Drosophila melanogaster: one gene and its partners. The protein of the gene in region 2 interacts with the protein of the main gene of each other region in a pairwise test. Each region holds a gene or a part of one and is shown on either strand. Other genes may lie near its edges. The genes, in order: aln, Nnf1b, CG13476 and CG32655.

What was found.
Region 1: the proteins of Nnf1b (region 2) and aln interact in a two-hybrid assay, tested with the Drosophila melanogaster proteins (one large-scale study listed by BioGRID).
Region 3: the proteins of Nnf1b (region 2) and CG13476 interact in a two-hybrid assay, tested with the Drosophila melanogaster proteins (one large-scale study listed by BioGRID).
Region 4: the proteins of Nnf1b (region 2) and CG32655 interact in a two-hybrid assay, tested with the Drosophila melanogaster proteins (one large-scale study listed by BioGRID).

Annotation. Positions count from the first base shown.
Region 1 is NT_037436.4:990,107-999,112, forward strand, and holds aln (allnighter), read left to right. Parts: upstream 1-3,876; 5' UTR 3,877-3,954; coding exon 3,955-4,104; intron 4,105-4,170; coding exon 4,171-4,323; intron 4,324-4,396; coding exon 4,397-4,534; intron 4,535-4,601; coding exon 4,602-4,810; intron 4,811-4,869; coding exon 4,870-5,443; 3' UTR 5,444-5,597; downstream 5,598-9,006. Other genes in the region: trio, read right to left, coding at 7,979-8,185, 8,245-8,625, 8,718-8,907, 8,973-9,006.
Region 2 is NT_033779.5:805,959-814,235, forward strand, and holds Nnf1b (Nnf1b), read left to right. Parts: upstream 1-4,618; 5' UTR 4,619-4,687; coding exon 4,688-4,800; intron 4,801-4,850; coding exon 4,851-5,063; intron 5,064-5,130; coding exon 5,131-5,245; intron 5,246-5,300; coding exon 5,301-5,474; 3' UTR 5,475-5,573; downstream 5,574-8,277. Other genes in the region: Dbp21E2 (DEAD box protein 21E2), read left to right, coding at 5,678-6,538, 6,604-7,353; Saf6 (SAGA factor-like TAF6), read right to left, coding at 7,499-7,935, 7,993-8,226.
Region 3 is NT_037436.4:14,703,948-14,706,657, forward strand, and holds CG13476 (uncharacterized protein), read left to right. Parts: upstream 1-1,516; 5' UTR 1,517-1,596; coding exon 1,597-2,046; 3' UTR 2,047-2,210; downstream 2,211-2,710.
Region 4 is NC_004354.4:12,231,664-12,240,560, reverse strand, and holds CG32655 (uncharacterized protein), read left to right. Parts: upstream 1-4,683; 5' UTR 4,684-4,831; coding exon 4,832-5,369; intron 5,370-5,435; coding exon 5,436-5,890; 3' UTR 5,891-5,999; downstream 6,000-8,897.

The DNA of each region.
Region 1 (9,006 bases), on a different chromosome or scaffold from region 2:
AGCGAGGACATCCACCAGTATCTGTCCAAGGGCGATGCCACAGCCAGTGACATTCTGAACAACTCCAAAAACTATCCCTTCCAGCCCTCGAACGCCCTAGAGTTTCAGTACAAGAACAATTTCCAGCAGGGTCAAGCGAACGCCAATAACAATAATACCAACACCACAAACACAGCGTCCAGCGATGCTGCCGAGTGTTTCCAAAACTACAGGGCCATCTCGAAGGAGACGAACCTGAACCAGACTTCAACGGAACAGCTCTCGCCCACAAACATCAATTTGTCAACGAGCTCGAACAACATAAACATCGTGTTCAGCAGCAGCTTGGAACGGAATGCCAACGAGGTCAAGTTTATCAATAACAGAAGTGGTGCAAGCGGTGGTTCCGAGATGGGCTGTGAGGTGGGTCACCATGCGGGCTATTTGCCCTACACCTATCCCAGCTACGATTACACGAACATGTCGGGAAACTCGCATTTCGAGAAGCCCCTGGGCATAGACGAGCTACCCAAGGAGTTTTGCGGATTGGAGGGCGCTGGAGGCGGTGGCGCCTCCACCACCAGTGAGCACTCCTCGTCGCTGCCATCGCCGCAACCACTGACGCACCACCAGCAGCTGCACCACTTCGAGTCCTTCGATGCCGCCTCCGAACACAATTTGCTAGCTGCCCAACCTATGTCGCCGGGCTCCCCGCTGTCGGGGTCCGTGAACCCTGCTGGCGATGACTTTGTCCAGATGCACCACTATCATCACGCCAACTCACCGCACTCACAATCGCACCACAGCCACGCCCACACGCACACCCACGGCCACCACGTGCACCACCTGCTAAACCACCCCGCCTACGATCTGACCGACGATCAGTTCCGGTTGGGATCGGCTTTGAAGCGAGTGCGCAAGCGAGCACGCAAGTACACCGACTTCCTGCGCAAGAAGTGAGCGATTCCGCGGACTCACTGCATCCTGAATCCTGCATCCTCCCCTAGATTCACCCTACTTCGGCCGCAAATACCTGGTGGTCTCGAAGCGACGATCGCAGAGCCTGGACGAAGACTAATCATGTGGCGACTGGACAAGCAATAGCCGAGGAAGCAGCGGTGTTGTTCGGCCGATCGAGAACCATAATTACATTTAATTACAATTTTTACACTGCCAAAAAGTTAAGTAAATTAAAGTTAATTTTTGCTAAGCCAAAACTCTGTTTAAAGCGAGGATCACACAGATCAGACACGAGCACTACGGAAAGGGTGGATTTACGAGGGTGGTAAAATTCGGGTTCTTGAAGTTATATAGGTTATTGTCCGTACAATCTTGGAGAACTTGTATATAGTTTTACCTTCCAGAAATTCACTCGCCCTAATGCACAAACAAGCCACACACACGAATCACATCAGCTGCAAACACAAGAGGAAGATGAACAACGACTATTTTAAATAATGAAAGGAAGTACTTAAGCTAACAGTGCGTATACATAATAAATACAAGCGGTATCAGAGGCGGGCATTTGTATATTCAACTTAAACATAAGCGAAGGTTTTGAATTTGCATATTTAAATTGACTAAACCCATATACATAGTTAAGAGCCAAGGCAAATGGAAATAATAATGCACACCTACTCAAGCCTAGAAGATAGACAACCAATCTAAACATACCAGTTAAAGCTAGCTATAAGGATGCGATCAGATGGATCAGATGGATCAGATCGGAGCAGCGCCACAAGATTTAGAGTTTCAGCAACCGCAACTGCAAACGCAAGTGCAACTAAATAATGAAATTAACCATTAATTAACAAACAAAACAAGCAAGACAAGAACAGCAACTGTAGTTTGGCACACTAAGGACAACAAGTTAAATGTTATAAAAACGAGTGTTAAGATTACACGAAAAAGTGAGAGTTTTGTTAGCATTTATTTGATATGCGCGTATTTTCAGGGACTGCTTGCGATTTTTGTAATAAAGCAATAAGCCGTTTTGCTCAAGGATTAAATACGTTTTCGTTTCACCCAGAGCCCCACAATTCTTTTGATTTTTTCTGCATTTCCGCATAATTCCTTTCAAGTGTATTATCCCCCAACAACTGTCTTCCAATTATACTTTCTAGTCGTATCTCTCGTCGTAGCCTCAGTTGCTCCCAAAAATAAATGTAAACTAAGCACTCCAACTTATTTTAATGGCCGTTGAATCAGACGTACCTTGCGTGAGAACAAAGAAAACCGAGAAAATTGTAAATAACTGCTGTTGATTAATTACTAACCTAATTTACGAGTAACAACTAAATGAACTTAATTTGTAGTCTTTAGCCGTGGCGAATCATTATGAATTAGTGAACCGAAAATAATAAATATAAATGCACTGCCAAAAACAAAGGTTTTAAGTAAAAGAACAACAAGAACAAGATCCTCTGGGAGACTCAAACGAAAAAGAAAAAAAAACACTAAAGGATCAAGTTCACAAAACCAAATCGAAAATGAAAACTGCTGTAAATATAAGAATGAATACATATAGAGAAATCATAGACATTTTTTAAAGGCACATTAATTAAAGAGGAGCATGCAATTTGCAGATTTTTTACATTATTTTAATGAACTAAGGAAAACAATAATGAGTTAAACGGAGCTACGAAACCGAAAAACCAACAAAAAATTAAAACGCCACGCGGCCGTGCGATTTTGTAACAAAATCAAAAGACAGAATGTTAACATTGCGTAAAGTTAAATCAAGTATAAAAATCGAAAACGAATAAAAAAAACAGGCACCTCAAAATGGCGTAAAAGGTGCGTGAACTCGGCACCGGAAACGGAAACTGACTGGTCTTAAGTTGTGTGCACCATTCGAACTGTAAATAACAGATTCTGATCTGCCGAAACAATTAGCCCTAGAATGCAACCCGAAAATCCCCAAAACAACGGACCGAGTTAAAGACATTATCCGCTAATAGGAAAACCACTACTATGGGAGAGGCACTACTAAAACCGAGGCAAATCCCTTTAAAGTTCACGTAGCAAGGACACAAACTTACCAGTTAGCCCAAAAACCCTCGAATCGATGAGATTTCGAGCCACGATAATCACACACAAAACCGAACAGAAGTTAAAGCCAGCGGCAAGAATTAGTAAGATGCCGATTGAAAATATAGCTGAATTAACACAATTAACAATGGCATTATACCCTAGCGACTTTTTTTTACCTGTTTGTACTTTAGTTTGTGGTTCGGATATGTTCTAGCATTTGTCATAGCCACTTATAGTTGTGTACATAACTAGTTAAAATTGTGCATACAGAACGGTTATCTTAAGTATATAAATACACGCAACGGTGAATATTAGCAAGACCCTGAAGAAACACTCAAACTATACAGACTTGCCAGCCAGATTCGCATTCCGACACACTGAGAATATTCGGAGGTGGAAGTGGGAGTAACGCGGAATAATAATTACATTATTAATATACAACAATAAACTTGAACCTAGGTATATGATTCTGAATTTAAATAATTTTTAGTAAGGCAGAGCAAAGAAACGAGAAGCAAATGCAAAACGGAAACTCTAAACACTTGAATGAAATTAAAAGACAACTTATTAAAAATACAAATAAAAATTGATGAATTAAGTAAAGTAAATTGCTCAATTTAGCTGAGAGTATAAATAAAGAATTATACGTTAAGTAATAATTTCAAAATACAAACCAGTCTTGTTCTTGGGCCAGGGTAAAAATGTGGCTGAAAGGAAATCATTTTCATGACAATTTCGGGTGGAGAACACTTTTAAGAAATAAAGGATACATTGGCAGCACTGATTGCGATATACATCGATAAAAAGGATTCGAGTGCGCACTGCGCATGTCAAGGATGTGTCAGATTTGGTTGACAGTTCTGGACTTTAAGGGTATATACCCGTACCTTCGATGGGGTGTGTAAGCAAGCTGGTTAAAAATGGAAATCTCTGGCTTTTAAAATGTTGACCGCCCTGCGTCGGAAAATTCGGTTCGGAATGCAGCGCACGGTTTTAATTGCGGTCCTGCTGGCGGTGGGCATTTTCAGCTACGCCTTTCTCAACCTCAAGTTCTGCTTCAAGTTGATGTCCCATCGGAGCCTCAACTTGATGGTAAGCTATTTCCCCTTTCCTTCACTGCAATATATGCATTTCTCAATATAATCTTGTATGGAATAGTGCCAGAAATTCGAAAAACATGAGTACAGCGGCTCTCTGTGTGAGGAACTCTGTGGTTCCCAATCTTCCTTCGACAACTTTCAGTGTCCGCTGAATGATATGAAAACTATCCTCTTTACGGCCGAAAAGAACGGCGACTTGTATGCGGTGAAGGTAGGTCGCGTTTTCCTGGTTCTCACGCTCTGGTTGCCAAGACTACGACTTTTCCATTTTTCCACTCACTTAGCTGGCCCGGCACAACGATGACGAGCTGAGCTGGACGAACAACAAGGGGGAGTCGATATACCCCAAGCTCGAGGAGTTCCACGAGATCGTGAAGCTGCACATCATTCTGGCGTACAATGTCACCCTGGATGATAATATGGTGAATAGACACGAGATTAGATTGTGCTCAGAAAATAAAGTATCTGGCTTTCATGTGAAAATTTCAGATCCGCGCTCTGGTCAACCAGGAAATAGCCGATGATAACTCGCAGCAGATGGTCAGTTTTTGGCGGCTCTTCAAGGACAACAACTACATGATGGGCAAACTTTTCGACGAGGAATCCATCTTTCCGGCTGTGCTGGGCTCCTGTGGACCCTACTACGCCACTGAGGGACTGGAGATTGTGCAGTCCAACCCCAGCATAATGCAGTATCTGTGGGTTCTTAGTTCTAACGAAAATATGATCGGAACTTATGTATCTTTTAACTGTATAGGGCCTCCAATCGCGTGCAGCGGCTGAAGCATGCTCTCAATATTATGGAGTACATTTTCCGACTGGACGAAATGAAGCCGGAGCCGCTGAAGATGTGCAAGATGCAGGTGAATCGCTTCGGAACCGCCTCTGAGCGAAGACTGAAGTACCAGAGTGCCGAGCACGTCTATGTGGAGAGCCAGCTGGACAAGCGATTGTCCAGGGGCGTCAAGTGCCACGCCCACCAGGACTGCCACTTCCACTCCTGCCGAGGATTGTGTGACGAGGAGAAGCAATCCTGCACGCACATTCAGCAGAACAACAACTTCCAGATTTTCTGCGAGCACATCCTACTGGGCGGAGGCACATTTCAGCCCGGCCTCCTCAGCGGAGTGCGCCTCTCCAAGGCGCTCCAGAAGCTGGTCAAGATGTGCGTCCAGCCGCCCAAGGAGCATCAAGTGCCAGGACGCCAGTGGGCACCCAACACGCAGCTCGCCCTGAGGCTCTACAACGAGCTGAAGCAACTGCATCAGGCTGCAACAGCATCCGCAGGATCCGTGATTCCCGACGAGGGACAGGCACGTCGGGGAGTCTAAAACATTCGGGGATTGGTACGGAAGTCGGAGAAGCTCGGAAGCAGCGGACGGTAGATCAATTGGCGTACAGCTGGCTCAAAACTGATAGCATTTTTATAAGTAGACTTAATTAATTACAAGTAAATAAAACAAAAATGCTTTTTTTGACTACAACAAAACAAATCTTATTGCCTCTTTAAATTAATTACCAATCTAATTTAAATTGGATAAATCAAGAAGCCACTGCAAAAACAAAATGTAGTTTTTTGGACAATTGAAATTCCCGCCATTCTTCTTCTTGGTTACCTAACATTCACCATTCTTCTCTAGAACTGTAGGGTTCCCAACCATTTCAACATAGGCGCCAAATTTAAATTCTGTTTAACGGTCGTGGTTTTTAAAATCAAGTACCATTAAACGGAATTTAAACAATGAGAATAATAAAAAACATTTCCGTTGAGTATGTTAAGTTTATTCAGCTACTTTTGCTTTGTTATTATTCACTTTGAAAAATTTAAATTCAGATTACATGCTTTGTTGGTTACATACAATTTGCATAGTGGTTTCTGGATATAATTATATTTATTTGCAGCCTGCGCCCGGGCCAAAAGTTTATCTCGCCAGGCTTTTCCGGGCATTTTCCGAGGGAAAGCTGATGCTTACTTGACTAAAACACAGATTAACACGTTTACTTTATGCTGTTCGCATTGCACTGACGCACATGATGTCGCAGTTGTAATTAATATATTTATAGTTAGTCAGAGTAATTAGATAAACTAAAACACACACTTTAATTACCACAATTATCTAGAATTTCGACAGGGCTTAAGTACAACAATTAGTTAATCGGTAAGTGCCATTAATACAATCGAAAAGAATTTAGTATGTTACATGTTACGGTCGATCGGTTGTGAGTTGAGTAGAGCTCCCTCCACGAGTAAAGTGCAAAAATGTAGAAAATGTTGTGGCTATTGGGTTCCCCTCACTGTGCGTTTGCTTGTCATCTGATCATCGGATCATTTGATCCATCGATCCTTCGATCCTTCGACCTACGATCCTACCATCCGATCCGATCCGTCGTCGCGACTTTAACATTTAATTACGAATAATGCCGGAGGTTCGTTTCACAAATGTTGTAAAAAAATACATTTCATGTTTGCTTCCTACATTTAGCTTTGCTAAATCATTATTGTTTTCCTCGCATTGATATATGCATCTGGCATTTATATTCATGCTCCAGACTGTAACCGGCGTCTCGGTGTGTGTGTGTGGGTGCTTCTAAGAGACAAAATCGGATTGAAAGCATTGGATGGACAACCGCTTAGTAACTTCGTCTCGTGTTCTATACATATAATCGTTTAATCAAATCCTGGTCCTGTTTGAGTAATTTGTTTGCAAGAGACACATGCATTTGAGTGACTCTGACTTATCCTCGTATGCTACACTGTACATTGGCCCAACTGGCTCCTGCTTACCAACTAACATAAACGCACAGACACCAAAACGAGAAATATGCTTCGAAAATCGTCTCGGATACAGTTTAGATTGGCTTAAGTGCTATCATCTGGGTGTTCGGGCTTCAAACTTGACTGCTTAGCCTATAAGTGTTGTGGACTTTTTTGTGAACAAAACAACCGAAAATGGGGCAAAGAATACGAAAACCAAAAAATAATAATTACATCCGAGCAGGCATTATGTTTATTTCGGGCATAGTTTAAAATTAGAATAATTAAAAACTTATTGTTTCTGGTTTTGATTACGTTTAAAGCTTACATATTTTATTTGTAAATTATAAAGTACAAATAAGCTTTGCATTGCATTCATAAACTAAAGTTAAGCTTAAATTATTTCACGAAGTTGTCACACTCGAACGAGTGCCATTACACAAATCTCTGCTTTAGTTTTGCAAAGCAAATCCAGTAACTCAAGTATAAACTATGATTAACATTTAGCAGTTTAACTAAAACTATGTACCAAACTAAGGCTAGAATAGTTATACTCTTACTCTCTGCGTTCAATGCGAATAAAACGAGTACGAAACGAAAACGAAATGTAAATTGCTTTTGATTCTGAGTAGTTCTCGGCTGCGGATCGTTAGTAAATCAGACTCGGAAAAGTAAAACTAAGAGCAAAGGAGTCTAAATAAGTTAAAAATGCACACAATGTCAAAGGTAATCTTGAGCATATAATACTTTGCGTTTCATACACACAAATCCGGAATAGAAAACAAAAACTATACGAACAGAAAGGCGGCCCAACTAAAATCTAAAGGTGGACTGAACGGAAACGCAATTGATGACGAATAAATAAATTACAATTACAAGTTACATACAAATTAGGATTGAGTATGCGAGTGTTTCTGGGTGTGAGTGAGCAAAACTATCCGTAAACAAACGCACAGACGGAAAAACAAGTGCGAGGCTAATGCTCACTTCGGTGGCGGAACACCTTTGCCCAAAACACATTTGAATATCATTTTCTCATACTTTCGTTTGTTGTTCTTGCTTGCCTTTAAGCTTCCTGCCTTATCATTTGGAATTCTTTCGCCAACGGCGTTCATTTGTTTTTGGTTGACAGGGGATTGGAGAGCATGAAGATCAGGTCGTTCTGCTGCTGCAGTATCTTGTTTAGCATATCGCGCCACCCCGCGTAGTTCTCCTGCGACGCCGCCTGGCAGATGATCGTCATCTCTGGGATCTTGGGGTCAGTCGACCTTATTTGAAAGCGGCAGTCGCCCAGTTCCTTCATTTGCATGTGATTGAGCTGACGGTGGTAATCGGTTATTGTTAACCCATTCGAAAATTCTATGTTATCCCTCTCACCTGTATGTGCGATCTGTATTTGAATATGGGACTGGCATACTGGTTCTTGGTCTTCTCAATATCCGCAAAGATGATGATCTGCTGGAAGAGGAACACCTGAAGCTCGCGGTGCTTCTGTGCCGCATCCACCACGCAGTTCATGGGTCCCTGCATCAACAGGCTGCCTTGGGCGGTTATCTCCCCATCGAAGTCCTGCAAGCTGCGCAGCACCACCATCATATCGTTGACCGTCTTGACGACGACCTTCATCTGTTGGTAGGCCTCCTGCAGCATGGGCACCTCCTTGTAAAGCCCGGCTCCCTCGGTGGCCTTGATGATCTCCTTGATGAGTAGCTCGTATTTAGTGATTCGCTGCACCGGCTTGATGATCAAGTTACTCAGCTGCGGATTAGAAAAGCGGGAATAAATAAGTTACAGATTTCACAAAGTGTATGTATTCCAATTACGAGTATGATTAGACAATTTTGACTTACATCCAGACGATGTCCCAGCTTCTGACGTATGCTATCGAAATACTGATAATGGGCACTGACTATGTATTCGGACAGCGGTTTGTTGCTGCAATAGGTGTAGTACAGAGCGAACTTGGTGGCTGACCGCTTGATGAGCGGACCCAGGTCCGCCGGCGATTTTTGGCAGTTGCGCAGGGCTCTCAGGAAGAAGCTGGAAGTAACACGAGTTTGTTGAATAAGTTGCCTACTTTAGATGGAAGGGTTCTCTATACTCACTCCCTGTGCCACTCGTAGATGTCTTTAATATTGT
Region 2 (8,277 bases):
GCGAGCTTGTTTATTTATTACATTTCCCATGCACTCAGCGAAAAAGCTTGCAAGATGTTACACTGATTTCTCGAACTCACTGAATCTGAAATGAAAGAGAGTTTGCTGTTCAGAAACGTTTAGAAGTTCAAGTCACTTTGAAGAAATTTGATATTTTTAGAAAGCCTTTAAAGTTTTTTCTCTGTAGTAATTTAATCCAAATAACTTTGGGTTTGCTGGCACGAATCCTGGCCAAAATTCATTATCCACACACAGATACACATAAGCACTATCCGCAGTCGCAATTGAAATCCCGGCTTTTTCAACTTGACAAATATGCATCGCTCTTGAAACTGGAGCTGTTTTGCATGTATTTGATTTTCTAGGCAATCTAGAGGGGAATACCCCGCCAGTCTGGCCGGGGGATCCCAAACCACCCGCCGGCGGGGGGTTTCTTTGGCAGCCAGCTGCCGGGCGAAGGTCGGAGTTCCCAGGACCCCGACTTCAACAGCTTAGCAGCCCGTGTCAATGGCTCAGTGCGTGAGAATTTGTTGCTGCGGGAGCTTAGAGGGTGGAAATCGGAGAAGGACATGGACAGGAGAGGGCAGGTGACAGGTGGCGGCGCTCACCTGAGCCACATACATCACCGGGAGCCCCCGATCCACGTTTAGTAGACAGTTTTATTTACGCTGATGGCCATAAATATTTGAATTACAATATAATATTTAAGCCCGAAGCCAGCTCCGTTGATTCAGCAGGGCTAGGGGTGAAAGATTTATGGCTGCCGCAAATCTACGCCAGCCACTTAATGCATTTTAATTTATTAAGCTGTCAATCTGCCGGTGCGGAACAGGCCCACATCCTCATCCGCATCCGCATCCGCGTCCGCATTCGCACTCCCATCCGCCTATCCATCCGCCATCCATCCGCACAGGTGTGCCTTAGCACGTGTGGATGGGATTTGGGCAGCGAAGAGTTATGCGATTTCTCCTGGACACGAACGGAATCCAAGTTAACTGCATTACCAGGCGGAGAAGGAGGAGGAGGAGGAGCCACAAGTTGATTTTCAGCGAGAAGAGTATAAACACAGCAAGCAAATATCCGCACCTTAAATGGATACGTATTGTATCTTATTGATTGAACAAGTTCCAATACCCAGCTGGCCTATGAAGATAGATCTTGCTATTGATCATAAGTGCAGTATGCCACGCAACAAGCTACCCATTTTTCTCTCAGTGCAGGCAGGGTGAGTTGAGAGCCAGATGTCGTTGCTTGCCACTCACTTGTCGCCTGTCATCCGTCAGTCCCGAGTCCTGAGTCCTGAGACCTGAGACCTCCATGTCGTCGGTCGCTGGAAGTCGTGTGCCAAATGACCAATTTCAATTAGAGATGCGGAGCCAGAACATCGGAGCTTACAAGAAAGCACGCAGCACCCACACGCAAAATTCAAGTGTCCTTGGAAAGCTACACGGAGAACTACTTGCACTCCCATCAACTCGCCAATAATAATAAATAAGCAGATAATACTGTTCATAAACACATCTGCAGATAGAGTTGAAAGCCATTTGTTTGAATTGAAAGTTTGGCTAAGAAGTAATTGCTGCAACTTTATGTGGCAAACCTTCGATTTTTTTTCGCAGTGCAACCACACACTCAGCAATCTGCTGGCTGTTTAAATATGAGCAACAGATTAAAACTTAATTTAAAGTTGACCCAGCCGGGTTTCGTGTTTCCACTTCAAGTTTAATTAATATGTTAAGCCCGTAAAAGCCGCTTCGGTAAACTAACCCCACCAGCCGGTTGTTGCTCCGGTGTTTGTTTTTTGTTCGGCCCATTCCCGAAAAGGAAATCAACCCCCCCCCCTCTCCCACCGAGAGCTTAGGCAAACAAAAGGTTTGCGAATCGCATTCCATGGAAGATGAGGCGTCTCCAACGATATGAAGGACTTACATGTGTAGCTGGAACTCGGTTTGCATACCAATTGTCTGACGCTACTTTCGACCATTGTACTTGCGTTTCATTAGTGTTAATCCGCAAAATCGGTAGGACTACGGCTGCCATATCCAGATATGTGCAGATACATATACACAGCCTTGTATATGGCGGCAGCTGTGGTTTCATGCATTGTTCTAATGCGTGCTTAAAGCGCATTTCCAGCACGCATGAGTGCCCACAGTTGCGGTCACATGAATAGTGGTCGGCTCCTAACCATCGATTTGCGCGACAGCTTGTTAGTTCAGAAACTATTAAAAGTCGCTTAACTCAGGCAAATTCTGCACAATTGATCTACATATGTGTGTCAAGCACACGTAGGCGACCTCCACTGTGGATTTGCATGCGAATGCAGCTCCCAAATTCACGAACAAAGCACAAAGCACCACTCGACAAATGCGCTGTAATTCGAGGCGACAAGTATGCAGCGAAAATTTTAAATGCATTTCACGCACTGCGGCTGACGCACCGCTCCCCCAGCCCCACACCCCCTCCCACCACTGGTATTTTCCCAGTGGTTCTCCATTCCTGTCACGCCCGCAAGTGTCGCCAAGCGACGGCTGCCGCTGCCAGCCAGGACCCACTGTTGCACACAGGACGAACAGATCAGAGCCAAGCCAACATATCCGCTTCTCATCGATATTTAAATAGCGCATAATCAAGGTGATGATAACACTATCAGCAAATGGTTATAACACACTGATGTTCTTAAACTAAGAAAACAACAATGTACGTTTAGAAGCCTAAAAGGATAAGTGTTTCTTTCAGTGCAGATGGCGTTGACTTGATTGGAATTTGACCAGAATTTCGCCCACTGGCAAAATGGAGCATCAATTAGAGCCAAGTGATTTATCCAATTTGTAGCAGGAGAAACCCTTGACAGGACGACACGAGACTTTCTGATTAGTAAAATAAAACTCGAATAACTTTTTAGCAATCTGACGTCAAAGGATCAGACACGAACGCTCGGAATTGAATATCCAAAAGTTTCTTCTTTCCTCGAGATACAGCTGAACTTTGCTCAAGAACTGATTGCTTTATGTTATATGGAAACTCAGAGGAATAACTTTCTCAAAGGGTTTCTAGGTAAGTGATATGAGTTTATTAAGAAGAAGTATTTTTTCAGAACTTAACATTTTCACTAATTAAAGAGAAGACTTTCGGGGAAAGCATATTCTCTCTTTTGAGCAGGACAAGCGCAAACAGTGTGAGAAATGCATAGTTATTTGGATTGGTATAATTCAGAATTCAGAATTCAGAAAAGTATGCAAAACTTTGTCTCAGAATTTAGGCTCATTTGCATACCAGTCGCACCACAAAAAGTCAACATCTCCAAGTTTTTCACACCATGTGCACGAGAATAAGAATATTAAAATCGCATCTTGCTTGAGGTGTTCGCTTTATAAAGCCATTACCAACTATCCGAAGGACGAAGGCGGGTGGATCCTGGGCGGTGGTTCCTGAACAGTCCGCATGTGTCGGCCGGCATTTTAACACTTTAATCATTGAAATGCAAATTCGGAGCCGAGTTTTAGCAAGACATGCGGCAGAGTGGCACATGCATGTTAACACGGCCACCGACTGGCACGCCTCCTGATTCTGCTTCTGTTCCTGGAGGGGACAGCTCAGGATTCTGGCCGGGATTTAGCATATCTGAGATCCGGGCCACACAAAGAGAAAATGTGTATCGAAACGGAGAAGATGCTAGTGGGTTTTTCAAATCTCACTTAATGGTGCCTGAAAGTATGCACCAAGTTTTGAAAAACATGTATGTCCCATGGGTAACAATGTTTTCCGGGTAACAATTTCGAACTTTCCACCTTTTCATTTTTGTGGCATTTATGGGTCGTTATAAGATTGATGTCGAAATGATTTTTCCTGTGCAGGGGAGAGCACATTTCGAATTCTGCCTACTCCACAGCTGAGTTCCTTTTCGGACCCGGAAAATAATGGAAATGCCGGACCCGGCGAGCGAATAAATTAACCTGGATCGCATTTATATTCGAAAGTAGTGGCTCGGTGATGCTTAAACCTGAGTTTGCCGCAGAATGCTTCCTTTATTGCACGTAAATAAAGTCATAAAGTCATCATTACAACCGCGCCAACGAGGAGCACACGATAAGGAGCACAAAGGACAAACTTTTGTGACTGCGATAAAAATTCGCAAATGCGCACAAATTACTCAAAACATATTAAAAACTGCGTCCCCGCCTCAACAATTTGCCCAAAACGTTGCACAAATTAAAAACCCTCTCGAAAGAGCGGAGATAAAAGGAAATTCCATTGTGGCAAGTTTTCCCGATGTGGCAAACTGCAGTGAAAGCACAACTTTCGGGGAAACTGAAAAGTGCAGTTATTGAGTGTTAGTTGCAAGTTCCTTCGCCGATGCGACATGTGAAAAGTTGTGTAATTCAGTTCGAGAAATACACTCTGAATGTGGCGTAAAAAATGAGTTCAATGTTATATTGAGTGTTTTCGAAGTAATGCCAACTTACCAGATTTGATGCTTGAATTTAACCAATTAGCCAATAACCGTTGTTTAAAATAATTTATACAATATATATGTTATCATAATTGAAAGCAGCTCGAATACCCTATACCTACAATCATGTCATATAGGGGTTGGTATTCACAACCTATCTGTAAATGGTCACATATGTTTTCGGTCGCCAAGTTTTGCTTGTAATTATTATTTTGCCAGAATTGTGTTAAAAGTATGAATAATATTGAAGAGGACACCGAAGCAGCCTTCAAACGGCTCCAGGCTGTCATTCCACAGGTGAAGCAGGCCTACGAGGAAGCCATTGGACAGATCTTCTCGGATTTAAAGTAGGAGAATGGCTGATTAAAAGATTGACCAAACGCTTACTATTGCTTAGCTCCTCAGATCTTGAGTCGTGTGCCTCCATCCTCGAGGAGCACGAATCCACGAGCCTGGACACCGAGCAAATAATCCACAGCACCCGTCGGCTTATGACCAAGATCGTCCTGGATGTGAACCAGTGCTTCTTCTCCGGCAACGACGTGGAGACCAAGCTGACCACGCTGGAAATGCTTAAGGAGCAGTTTGCCGCCCACGAGGGCAAGAACTGGTTAGTGAATGGTTTTGAATTTGGTTGTCCAGCAGCACTTTCCATGGTTTTTAACGTAAATCCGCAGGAACTTCAACTGTCTGTCCCCTGAGGAACTTACTCGCCCTCTGCGCATGCACAACTTGAATCTAAGCATCACATTCATGGAGCAACAGCTTAAGAAACAGGAAAAGGAACTCGAGGTATGTATTTCAACCTCCGAAGAATTAAGTAATACTTGGATTACTTCGATTTTAGATTGCTATGGCCAAAAGCATTAAAAATCGACAGCTTATACATGATGTCCACGCTGAACGGGTGAAAGTGGGATGTATGATGAAGCAGCAGTTGGCCGAGTACCAGGCCATTAAGCCACAGTTAATGGAAATGGAACGGCTAATAAATGATTCGTATGTGCAGGAAGAAATGTAATTTTATAAAAAAAAACAGATTATTATTATTATTATTATTATTATTATTATTATTATATTAGTTGCTGGGTCTTGAAATAAATATGAATTTCAAACTTACCGCCACAAGTGGCATTGAATTCGAGCGGCGCTTTCCAACACTTCGATGCGTGTGCACAGCTGACTTGCCGGCAAATGAAAAACATTGAATAATATTCCGAAAGCATGCTGAACTTGTCCGTGGTGCTCCGGGTGCAATCATCGCGCCATGTGGCTTCATATGCCACAGCGGCGGCGGCGGCAGTTAAGACGAAGCCACCAAAGGCAAAGTCCAAGGGCAAAAAGCAGAAGGGGGAGCCCCTAATCTCCTGCAGAAGAAGCCAGTTCGATTTAACCCAATACGAGCAGACGGATGCCAAGTTTGGGAGTCTTTCGCTGGCCTCCAAGGGCTGGCTGCACAACAAATCCAAGGGAGACTTCTTCATCCTGAACGCCAGCGTGCGAGGTGAGGAACTCCAGCAGGAAATGCAGACCGTCGATGAGTTCCTCGAGAGCACGGGGATGCAGATTCATCCGCAACTCCTTGAGAACTTGCGAGTCGAGCTGGGCATCAAATTACTGACGGGAATCCAAAAACAGGGAATGCCCGTTGTCCATGGAAATGAGCACTGCCTCATTGCCGCTGAAACTGGGTGTGGAAAAACAATTACATATCTCCTGCCTATCGTAGACAAACTCCTCCAGAAAGAAGTGGTCACCGAACGAAAACTCAACACCCCCCGTGTCTTGATCCTCACTCCCGGCAGAGAACTAGCCACGCAGATTGCTGGGGTCACGGAGAAGCTCACCCAGGGCACCAATCTCAAAGTGCAATCTTTACTTGGCGGCAATACCAAGCAGCTTATGATGAACCCACAGTTCGAGGAGGTGGACATACTGGTCGCCACTCTGGGTGCACTTAGCAAACTGGTGACCACTGGCATCTACCGCATGGAGCAGGTTCGTCATCTGGTTCTAGACGAAGCGGACACCCTCCTAGATGATACGTTCACAGACAAACTTTCCTACTTCCTCAGGAGATTTCCCGTAAGTCATTCTAGGCGATTACCAAAGGAATGGCTTCAATCAGCTTGTTTTTTCTTATTCGACAGTTCCACTTGGTGCAAAAGGAGGATGCTGGCACCCAGATGATCCTGGCCTCGGCCACCATGCCCACGAACACCAGAGAGATCCTTCACAAAGTCATAGACGTGGACACCATCCGTGAGGTCGTCAGTCCGCACCTGCACCGACTGATGTCTCATGTGACGCAGAAGTTCCTGCGGCTGTCGAAGGCCGATCGGCCCGCCACACTTCTGTCACTCGTGAAGCATGATCTTGCCAAACGTCGCCCTCTTATCGTGTTCAGCAACAAGTCCACCACCAGTGACTTCGTTTCCATCTTCCTGAACAACAGCGGAGTGAACTGCTTAAATCTGAATGGGGATATGCTGATGAAGATCCGTCTTGGCCGCTTCGAGCAGTTCCAAAACGGTCACTGCGACGTCCTTTCCACCACCGATGTGGGAAGTCGTGGCCTGGATACCACACGAGCTCGACATGTGGTCAACTTTGACTTTCCGCTCCACGTCTCCGATTATATCCATCGTTGTGGCAGGATCGGTCGGGTGGGCAACATGGACAAGGCGCTAGTCACGAACCTGATATCATCGCGCCGCGAAATCGACGTCGTCCAGCGAATTGAGCACGCAGCTCGAACAGGTGGACTTCTGCCGGATGTGAATGCCAACATCCGAAACATTATCAACAAGCGGATTGTGGCGGAGATGAAAGCTGCAGGAATGCCCGTGCCCGCTTTGGGCTCACTAAATGGACATACGCCTCAGGAAGAAGCCTTTTAGTTCTGTGTTTTTATGTATTACGAGTAAAGTTGTATCACCTTTCGGAAGACCGAAGAGGAAGTCTAAAGTAAACGAAGAGTTTTATTGAGATCCCCAGGTCCTCCTGGACCTCCAGAAGGTCTTATAATACTTTCCCAAGTCCCTTTCAGATCCTTAGGTAGTGATAGCCACTGATGGGCGACCACTTTCTCACGTTGGTCAGGGGCTTAAAGAGTTTTCGTTTGGCGATCAGGATGTCGGAGCTGGCACCGCCACCCCCACCACCGTTCGCTGCCGACGAAGGCGAGTCTTCGGAGTGGGGAACAGTCGCAACCTTCGGCTTCAGCAGCACCGGGCGGCATCCTGCAAACTTAAAGCGGATGTTGCCCGCGCAGTTGAGCTGAAGATTTGGTGACTGAAGGTCGGGGAAAGCCTCGCAGAGCGTAGGCTTCGGTTTGAGTGCCTTGCTAGGATCGTCTCCGTGGCACATGGCTGCCGCAAGAGTACTCCATTCCAACCGACGCACTCCCGGCACTGATTCTATTCTGTAAGCGGGTTGTTTGGCCTTCACATACCGTCTGGTTACCATCTTTTCGTAGGCTCCTGCAATGATTTTTAGTTACTTAACCGCTTTTCATGGAACACATGGGTGTTTCTTACGCGCATAGTGGACCAAGAAGGGCTGCAGAGCAGCACCGCATCCGTACTCCAGCCATTCATACAGGTATACGTCATCATGACCGCCAAGGAAGATGGCAGCCGGAGCCAGATCCGGCCACAGGCTATCCGGGATTTCCTCGACGCGCAGTTTGTAGATGTAGGGAATAAACTCACGAAAGGCATATTCTCCCAGGGCAATGAGACCGCGCACTGCTCTACTGATATACCTAAAGTCTTAATTAAGAAATCCAAAGATAAGGATCCAGGCTAACAAATTGTAAGGAT
Region 3 (2,710 bases), on a different chromosome or scaffold from region 2:
AATATATATAAAAGAAAAAAAATAAATAAATAAGGTACATTTTGAACTTCACTATAAACAAAAGTCAACACGTCCTTAGTCTCTTAAATATGAATTCGACTTTAAAATCGAATAGTATTTGCAATCCACATCAGAAATAAAGTTCTCTTAATTCAGACTAACAAAAAAGATTGATGTTCTTATATATGCATTCACATAAGTTCGACATGGAAGAAAAAATAATCGGAAAATTGCCAAAGCTTCTTCCTTTTCAAAAAGTGTTCTGCATTTGTGTGGGTATAAACGTGTCCTTGTGAGTGTCTGCACTCATGCATAGAAATAAGCCGATAAAACCCTGACAATTGTGTCATGGAGTAGCGTTTTAGTTTTGGGATTGGACTTAATGCCTCTTGACTTCAATTTGCATAGTCGGCTTAGCAACGTTCGTGCAATGATTGAATGACAAATTGATAGAATTCGGCATTTACCAGTTGACAGCTAAGGAAGAGCTTTTTCCGGTCGGAGGAAACGGAAGAAAAGTTAAACCGATGATGGAGATTTCAGTTCAAATTCTGTTTGAGCATGATTTAATTATCGTGCCGGTTAAAAAGGACTTTTCATTTGCCTACAACAATGTTCACAACGAGTTGCGCCTTTTTAATTATAAAAATCAAAATTCATGAAAAGCTCTTAGAATATAGAGATATGATCTTTTAGTGTTTAAATCTCTTGAATGCGAGTATAACATAATATATATATAAATAGGCTTTTCATCATCACATATAGATGATTTAATCCTTCTTCTCCAACAAAATTTTAAGCCATTCCCAACAAAGTTGTTAAATTGTTAACAAAGCGAACATTTTCACTCAAAAAACGCCCCTATCGCATTGACTCTGACCTAGACCGCAAGCCGTTTAGATCCCGCAGGACTTCCCATTAATCCAATTAGGGCTGAACATATTTGCTTCTCATTAAAAATGAAATCCTTTGCTTTGGACCGGAATCAAGAGCTTTGACCAATTACCAAGCGTTTTTTCATTTACGTTCGCACATTCGAAATAAAAAATTAACCAGGAAGGTCGCAGATAAAGGCATTGACAGAGCAGCTTAGAAATCTCTTTGTCAGCAACTTAAATGAAAATTAAGACATCTGCTTTCATTTAGCTTAAGTGCTTATCTTGCGAAGGACGCAAAGGCAAAGGACACGTTTGCCCACAGGACAATCAATTATGAATGCAACACCGAGCACCATCAGCTTGGCAAAATAGTCTGTAATAAAAGTTAGGTTCATGAGGAGTGCGATGCTTTTGGGCGGCTAATGATGATAATTATATGTTTTAAGTGACATTGATTTGTCGCCTTCAGGATGGGCCGGGAAATTCCCATGATGTTTAATTCATTAGCCAGCTAATCGGCTTACTCTGATAATTAATATAATTGATGTCAGTCATCTTATTGTAGCGCCACCCAAGCAGGCTACTCATTCCCAGTTGCCTCTGTGTCATTTCTATGGATCTAAAATAGGTTTCCCAGTACTATTGACGCCCTGAAAGTAATCAGATATTCACACATAAAATAAATTCAAATAAAATCTGTATATTTTGTACGCTCACAATGAACATGAGGGGAATGGCCAAGCGTTCTATTTGGCTGCAATGTCTTCGGGAAAATGCCACCAATATGCGCCTGGAGCACGAGGATCTGGGACGTCGCATTGCTGTTTCTTTGGCCAGTTCCCAGAAAGCTCTAGTTGATATCGAAAACTTGAATCAAGAGCTGTTAAAAATGAAGGACACAATCCATAATGCCATTTCCAATGTTATGGGCTACGAAAAGAAGTGTTGTGAATTGCTCCTGGAAATTTTGATTAAAATAGTTGAGAACAACGACCTGGATGCCGAACTAAATCCCAAAATGATCTCCAAGGCGTTTCTCGACTTGGATCCGAGTTCCGACGAGACAGAAGTTCTGAATGACCGTAGTCTTGCAGCGTCTGATTTTAATCAGCAATATCCAAAAGATGTGCCGGATTCTATTGATATAAACATAACAGAAGACCAGTAACCATTTTAAATAGGATCCAAGACCGCACCAATTCGATTACTAACGTCTTAATTTAATGCGTTGTCAATTCCACCTCACACATTTAAAAGGAATAATAAGGTGGTCAGGGCTACAAATGTTTTATATTTTTTATCGATTCAATTAAATTTGCATGGTGAAATGACAAAACCCATTGTCTCTTTCTTCAGTTTATAGTTGTGGGAAAGTTTCTAAGACGTTCGAAATGTTAAAACCCTTGAAACGAAAAAACTTAGGATGACCATAAAAATACAAAATTATGAACAGAAAGAAAAGAGAAAAGCACGCCAACATCCGCACAAATTGTCCTGCAGAAAAGTCAAGACAAAATCACGTATACGCACTGTGACAACCCACAGCCTGGGTTAAAGACAATCCCAACTGGTAATCCAAGTCGTGTGCGTAGCCAGCATCCATGTTCCTAAACAATTTGTCGGCGATTTGTCGGCAAACTTGAGCCATATACGCCACACATACGCACCGAGTGAGCCATATTGCACATACGCCCCGTGTGACCCACAGAGGAATACAAAGAGTAACGAGGTTAAGTGACCCAACCAGCAAAACAACCTGTTGACTCAGGCTCTCTGCTCTCTCACTCAAAGCAAACTCACTCATCGGTGGGTTTGTTTTGCTCCGCTCTTTC
Region 4 (8,897 bases), on a different chromosome or scaffold from region 2:
TCGATGAAACACAATTGGTAGCACTGATTGTTCTACTTGCTTTGGGTTTGTATCTTTGTATCTAAGCCAGTGAGGAATCGCATCACGTGCATCATGTAGATGCCCCCCTCTCCAACCACCAACGCCTTTTTTCTCGCACTGTATCTGTTTTTTATGCTCCCTCTATTTGTATTTTTATTTTTATTCCAGCTCTGTGTGTTTGTTTCGGTCCAAATCCATTTGAGGCAGCAGGAACTGGCACTTTTTTTTCGGCTCAAACTCTGTGTGGCTTTAAACCTAAACCAGAACCGAAAACCAGAACCAGGAACAAAAAAAAAAAATATATATATATATATACGATGATCGGAGGGGCGAGGCAACCAAGTCGCGGCTCTTGGGCGCCTTGGCTTTTGTGGTCAGTCAGTTTTGGCCGTCTGTGATGGTCGTAAAAATACCCAAGAGATGTCGAAGGCATGTTGCAAAATTTCAAGCTCAAGTCGAAATGGCAGCCAAAGTCTGTTCCACACTCACACGTAGTGCAAAAAACTAAAGGAGCACACACACAGACACAGAAAAGTTGCCTGTTTGGATTTCAAATGGTCAAAATGTGGACATTTGCTTAAAGAAGAAGAAAAAAAATCTTCGTATCTGCAAGATACTTCTTTTATGTCCCTCCCTTTCTCACCACCCTACCCATCTCTTTCGCACGAAACAAGTCTGCTGAAGAAGAGCTTGTTTTCGCATTTTTATGTCCATTGCAAAATGCGGTTTGGCCCATTCAAGGAGCTTACATAATGCCCTACCCACTGAGATTCTTGTAGTTTAGTTTAGTTTTCAGCTAATTAAAATATTGAAATAATACTTTTATCTGCATTTGGTTTTATGCACTGCATTAGTAGTGTAATTTTGTTTTAAAGAAACATTTTATTATATGAAAAACAAACTAAATACACTTATATATGCATTTGCTTATTATTACCCCTGTGTACTTTATCCATAAGTAGCGCCCTTTGGCAGTCGACCCAGTTGAGTGCCCTGGAAAATAAGTTGGTCTACAAGCTGTGGGGCCAATCTTAAGCTCCACAACTCGGGACCTCTCGGCTGCACTCGTCGTCTCTGTTTTATCCAATCCCTCTATCACTTGCACGCACTCACACAAAATTCTTCCTTTTATTTTTTTTTTCCCACTTTTTTTCTCCCTTTTTCTTTTTATTTTTTTTTTTAAATAAAAGTTTGCGTTTTAGCTTTAGCCAGATTTATGTTTTCCTGCTTGCGTTTGCAGAATTGTTGTCGGAAGTTTTTTGTGCAGCATCATGGCACTCACACACACACACACACACAGAAAGTTCTCAAAAAGACGTAAAAAAAAAGATGGAAATAAAACAAGAAGGGAAAAATGAAGTAAGGAAAAGCCGGGCTCCAGTGGCAGCTGGAAAATGGAAAATGGGTTGGGGCTGGGCGAAGTAAGGCGACCGCAAAATATGCTCAGTAGCATTGATGCGCCTTTTGACCCGGCCTCTGACTTTGACACTGAAACCGAAACCGAAACTGAAACTGAAAAAGAAACAGTCAACATAAAACTAAGAAGAAAGGGCTTTTCCCTGTGACTTGGCATTAGTCGAGCAGGAGTGCGTCTTATTAGCAGTTACGTATAGGGCTTACACAGCGAGAAAATGCGTGTGCTGAGGCAATATATCTATATTCAATCTAATCATTAGAATGAATTTTACTACTGCCTCTTGACTCTTCAAAGTGTATAAAAGGGAGAACTACTTGCCCCCTTAATTAAACATAAAATAACATTGTTGCCAATTATGAGAAAGCACATGTAATAGAATTTATAAAAATGTACAACCATCCATTCCACTTCTCACTTTCAAGTGACCCAATTCTATGGGTCATGTTTATTCTGCAAGTGTGCGAAACGGTAACCTTTTCCGGCAAAAAGAACGCTCGAGGCCAGGACCATCATTTCACTTTCACTTGTCCAATTAGCTGTCGAGAATGTACTGGCAATCGGATGTTTAGTACTCCAGATGTCATGTAGTTCGTTTGGTTTTCCACCTCCACCTCCACCTCCGTCGATTCGGATTTGCTTTCATTTGTTCTGGCCATCACACCTGGCCTCCGGGGAAGTCCCAATGAAATCGAATCGAATACACTGAATTGGACATCATTAGCAGGGGGCGTGGGTCGTCGTGGGTGGGCTGGTATAGGATGGGGGTCGTGCCATAAGGGGCAGTAGGTTAAGGAGTTCACCTTGTGAAAGTTACCCCTGGAGGCAGGTGAAATGACCAAAGGAATGGGCAATTCGTTGGGCGAAGATGAAGATTCTACCTCTTCATCTTTCAGTTGGACTGTACGACTGTAATTGAGATGGGTGCAAAGAACGAATGGCAGAGAAGTGGTCCTTCTCGTCCTTTGGCTCCATTCGGTCCTTGAGTCCTCCAGTCGAGTGGACCCAAACAACAAGATGTCATATCATCGGAATGGCAGTCTCATTACGAGACTTTGTTCATCGCCTTTTTGTTCGTTTCCCTTTTCGTTGTGTCTTTTGAGCCGGCATTAATCAAAGGTCTTAGGGTTAATGTTTCGCCAACCGACGTGGTGGGGATATCAAAAACGATTGTGCTCATAATTATAGCGCTGGGAATAGGAGATGATCCAACTGCCTCAGGGGCAACTTCAAATGCAAATGCGGTGATTACGCTTTTGTCAATATTATGTCTGGTATATTTCTCGATTAAAATTTGTCTATCCACTTGATTTATTTCCCATCAAGAGGTTGTCCGATTTCTGTGCTATTTTCTTGACCATTACTGTAAGAGTAGTAGTGTATACAGTATTTATTTACCACACACACACACACACACTAAACTAAGCGGCTGTTAATGACGCAATTTCCGCAAACGCAAACGGAGGCCTTTGGCAACCTTTGAGGGTCAGTTGCTTTGGCCAACTTCTTGGTGTTGTTGGCCAAAGCTAATTAGCTTAGCGCGTTTAAATCGCTCGAGCATCGCTCATTTCTAAGGCATCTCTCTATATACTGCTTTATATAAACGGATATGTAACCCCGGAGAAATGGCTGTCGATAAATAAAATAAAAGGCGGGGAGGAGTGCCTCGTACAAGCCACAAAATACGAAAACAACAACTGGGATAACCCTTTTTTTTCCAACAGACAATTCCAAGCCATTACACTGAGAAATGTGACACAATTTGAATAACATTTAAAATATAAAATTGAGCATCAATTCGGTTTGGATTCCGGCTTTTTTCATCCTTGTCTTTATTTTGCTGATGGTTTTTGGACATACCAACCCAACTCCTTGAAGTGATGGATTTGCTGCCTGAAGAGAACATTTTCTTGGGCCTTTTCTTTCCATTCCCCATTTTTCCGGGCCGTCTCTTCGTTGTTGTTGTTTGTTTGTTTTATTTTTTGTTCCCCCGCCACGACTTTCTGTTCTTTTTCGTTTTTACTTTGTCTAAATTGCGTAAATTATTGGCATATGTTGTCTTCGAAGTCCTGTCGAGAGAGGCAATGAAACATTTTTAACCCTTTTCCTTGGAAATTGACAGGGGCGTAGGTTGGTGTGCGCTGCGAAAATGTCGATGTCGGCCTGGTATTTTTTATTCCATTTTGCCGTCTTTCTCTGGGATTCTCGGGTGCTCTCCCTAGTTTTTGATATCCCCCATAACCCCACATTTTGGGGCGCCTCTGTCTGGCTGCCAGTTGGCTGTCATTTATTCCCACTTCGGGTTCAGTTTCGGCTTCCACCAATTTTCTCCGGCTCCTCTCTCCCACTTTCTTTCTGTTTTTTTTTTTTTTTTATCATTTATGGCCGTCGTTCTTTGGCTTTTTATGTGCGCTATTTCGCGATGTAGAACAATAGCCGCCCGCCAGCTCATTCAACCCACTGCCAAAGTCGTGGATCCAGGATCCCAGGATCCTGAGTCCGGAATCCTACTGTTCCTGCTCCAGCTCCAACTTCATCTTCGTGTGCTTTTGTTACAGCAAAACGGGCAGGGTGAGCCACTACTGTCCTTCACTATCGCTCGTTGCGCCCTCGCGCTACTTTATTGTCTTGCCAAAAGAAATAGACTTTTAATATACTTGGCCATTCAGAGCACAAAACATGGAGCGAAGCTCCCAGGGAAAACTCCTTTTTCCCTCCTCAAAAAAAAAAGCAAAAAAAAACTGCCAGCAAACACACGGAAAATAGAGGAAAAAAGGACAAGTGTCTGGGAGTGTGGAAATATTAGGCGATTTTGCCAGTTCATTGACTTGCCACAACAATAGTTTGAAGTTTGTCTGCCAAAATATGAGATTCCGAATAAAATGGAACCAATCCCGGGATGGGGGATTCGAAGGCGAGCGACGGAAAACAGAAGCTAAAAAGTTTTTCACTTTAATAGTTCGACCAATTTGAGAGTGGCTAAAAGGCCAGGATAATGGCAGCACAGGGAGTGCAAATAAAATCGTACTCCGATTTATTTGTACTTTTTGTTGGGCGCAATTTCTGACTTGATCAATTTGAAACTTGGCCATTTTATAGCCATCATTTCGGATCAAAATAAAGCCATGTTAAATCTATTTTTTTTTTTTTTTTCAATATCTAAAACATGTTGGCCTTGATTTTAGTTGACTAGATTTCGAACATCCATCAGTTGATTATCTCAGTTTAAACACGACACAGTAACTGTGCACTACACAATAGAACAAAATTCCAAAATATTGTTGTTTCAGGTCTAGGAAATTCAAAATTTTTTTTTTGTTTTTGATAGAGCGACTGAGGATTCCCTACTCTAAGACAATTCCCAAGAGAACCTCAAGCTCAAATCTCAAATAAAATATGGCCGAGAAGAAATCCCAGGACAATAAGGATAATGTCAGTGGATCCCAGAATCGAACGAGCCGCGTGGAAGCCCATGTTCGCCAGCAAGAAGAGAATAATGCTATATTTGCTCGACTTTTTGCCAGTTTGGACGCTGAACATCGTAAATTGAAAGAACTTGAAGAGCGCAGATCGCAGCTAATTGAAGAAATGAAAAATTTGAGGTCTCTACTCTTTGTTGAGAATAAAAAACTTCGACAGACCGTTGCTCCCATTTCGGGTGGAAATCCATTACCAATTCCAGCTACCAGTGCTAGTTCCGTCGTGAAAAAGAGTTCGGAGAAACCTTCTGGCTCTAGGACCTCTCCCATTATCAAGTCAGCACGTTTGGAACGACGACCTTCCAATAAATCGGTTACAATTGCCGATCCACCAACACAAAGTTTAACGACTAGCGAAAGACCCAAGGCAAGTAGTTCACAAGGTTTAAAGAAAAAGGAAAATCGACGAAGTCTCGTTGTTCCAGCAAGGAAAAATAAACATAGAATAACTTTGGGTAATAAGCGGTTTCAGCTATTTCACATTCTAATTTAATCCAATCAAAACGGTATTAAATTTCTAGATAACTTATCAAATACCAGAGAGGACATGTTAGACGAGTTCGATGAATCCGCATTGGCAACTTCTGTGGGCTCCAATTTGCAGACTTTGGAGCAGCGAAGATCCAATTTAGAGGAACGAGAAGATATAGACGAAGTTTTGGTCTCGCTGTCAGCATTATTCACCTTTGTGGATTCTCAATTTACAGACCAGGCCATTTTACCAAGTACACCTGATACCGATGATTCCAAAACTGACGAAGTGATTCCCAATACCGATCAAGATCCAAGTTTTTATCTCCCAAGTGCCGATTCTTTGTTCAAGGACATACTGGGACCGAATTCGCCATCCTTAGAGGTGAAATTGCCAGAAGAATCACTTCAATTGCAACCAGCTGACATTGTCGAATGTTCAGCGAATGTGGCGGAAATCGTTGAAAATGAACACGAAACGGAAACGGAAACGGAAACTGATTAAAAGCCCCCTTTAAGGGTTTTTAAGACTAATCTAATGGTTAATTAAACTTGGAAGTGCAGCTATTTACTAGATCTGGCAACAATATTAAACAAATACACACATTGAAGCCAACTAGCCAGCCTTTTCATTGGGGGATCCACTGAAAGGCTTTTAGAAAACTCTGTTTAAAAATCCTATAGTTTTAAACTTTGAATAGCTGAATGGCTCACCGCATGACTACTTAGTTTTTCAGGGATCAAAGGCAAACAATTTTCCTGTTGATGCTATCAAAAATGTGGCAACATATTTACGTACAAGTGGAGGGCCTATTATTTTTGGGGTGGAAGAAAATCTGCACATGCTCATGGCATATTCGGTCGACTTTTCTCAGCATATCTTGTGCTTTATTTTTTGTTCGTTTTTTTTTTTGTTTCTTATTCAATTTGCCGACCCTTGGTCCCCTGTCTCAAATTGAAGTCCTGGGGGTCGAGGACACTCTCCACATCCATTTCAAAACAAATTAGTTGCCAACTGTCCGAAACAAATGTTGTCTAACGAGCAAAATCGAGTTGTCTCCCATTGCTATAAGAATACACATGAACTAGGTAGGTATACCATATACACATAAATATATATAATACAATATATATTTGGTATATATGTATGTACGGACATGTCCACTTCTTGGGAGTTTTGTGCGACTTGTTTGTCCAACGAAATGATATGAAAAGCTCGGCATTTCAATCATAATGTTCATCACGATTTTTTCCTCTTTTCCTTTGGGGTGGCATAGAGATGATGGTGGGGACTTATTGATTGGACTGGGTCAAGAGGTTATGTTTTGTGTGTGCGATTTTTGCTAGTGAAATGCACTTGAAGTGCAAAACTAAACTTGCAAGTCAAACCTGAAGCTAAAAAAAAAAAGAAAAGAAATAAATAAAAAAAAAAATGGAAAACTCGAGAACTGAAAACTGAACTAAGGCAAACCGAAAACTAAACAAGTTTCTGGCTACCGAAAAACCACCTGACCCATACGAGCACACACAAATTACTTATGTGCGGATGGTGGGTGGTTCGTTCAGTGGGTGGTTACACATTTCATTTTTTTTTTCTTTCTTTTTTTTTGGTTACTGTTGTTGTTTGTTTTCAAGTAGGTCATTAGAGAGGCCTTCGCCCTTCGCCCAGCCACTTGAATTATTAAATTCCCCCGGCATTTCGAAGTTCTGCAGTTGAGCCAAGCGAAACGAGGCGCTTTTCCTGCCCTCGCTCCTCAAATATGCACATTTTTCTATACATATACACCCATCCATTCGTCCATCCATCCATCCATCCATATATACATTTATACATATATAGTAGGTCCTATTCGCATTCGTAATCGTATTCCAGGTTTGCCAGACTGTTTCCATAACTTACCTAAAAGTGGCGAAAAAAAAAGAGAGAAACAGAAATATTTATTGTAATTTTTCTGTTTTCAATTCGCAGCAGCAGCTTAAATATGGGCTACTTTGACATTCAAGGGGACATAATAAATCAGCAAGAGAAAAAATGCAATATTTTTAAAACATATAGGTCAGGCATGAAAATGTATATACATTTTAGATCCTCTTCTTACTTTTGTTTTGCTTGCAAAAAGCTTGAGCATAGATTTGTCACCCGCAAAGGTAACTTTTAACCAATTCCCAATTCCAGTGCGATTTTCTATGCTCCTAGTGCTATGGAATTTAGTATTTAACTATTTAAGTTGAAGTGAATTCTAGAGCACACTCTACGGTTGTGGTCCCGCGTTCGGCTGGCAGTCCCATAAAAAGTAATTGGAATTTTCATTTAATATAAAAGCTGAGCGAACAACACAGGCAGCGGAACACAATCTAACCCACTTGGCAGCTTGCAATCGCACAGCAACCAAAAACTATGCATATAAACGGGGGCCACTGATGTTAGGATCTACACCCCCTCCCTTCCCCTTTGGGAAACCCTCTCGAAATATCCATCTCTACCATTTTGAACTGGAAAAAGGATACAATGTAGCCAGTGGAGCATCCTCATACTCATGGATATGTGTATCCCCGTGCAGGCTCGGCTCGTTGCTCATAAAACTCACTCAAGTAAAAGTACGAATGGTTTTCGATATGAAATGCATGAAACTAACAGGCAAACATATTGCGCCGCATTGCCGAAACCCGCCCACGGCCACGCCCACACGACCCAAACGCCCACACGCCCATATTTCCAACCCACTACACCGGGGGATAAAATCATATAAGCATCTTATTTATTTTCACTCATTTAGTTTGCATCCAAATATTTCTATTTTTTTTTTTTTTTGTTTAAATCTCTGGCATACGGATTTTTTCAATTTTTATGTTTACTTAGTGCTCAAAGTTGGCTCGATTTTAATATAAAATCGTGAAAGCAGTTTCAATCAATATAAAAAAATGAAAACAAAATTAAAAAACAATATGTAATCGTTGAGCAGTTATCAGTGCTTAAAAGTTTGATTTTAAAGTTGAATTTTTTTAGAAATGTTAATGCCAATTGAAATTATTTTTACAAAGTAACAAAACATATTTTTTTGTTGTACTGTTAAGTAATTAATAAGCAATTCCTTAACAGGTGGTCCATTTTTTTTTTTTACAGTGCAGCCAGCCCCTTGTATCAGTTGGCTGACTGTTGGTTACCACTTGGCCGTTGTTGCTCCTCATCCACATCCACATCCACATTCTCATCCACATCCATATCCTCAAGCTGAACCTCCATCTCGTCCTCGTAAGCTCTTCCATCTGTGTGCCCTCGTTACCGCCCCTTCACCCCTCCGGTCATTGTTGTGGGCTGTGTATGTATGTATATACGAATTTATATATATATACATATACATATGCATATATATATATATTGTATCCCAGTGCGAACTCCGCACCTCTCGCCTGTCTATTTATTCAGATATGAAAATGCATATTGTACACTCGACTCACGCCGCTCTATATGGGACATTTCTTTATCATTCGCTCTTCGCCTCCATCTGCAT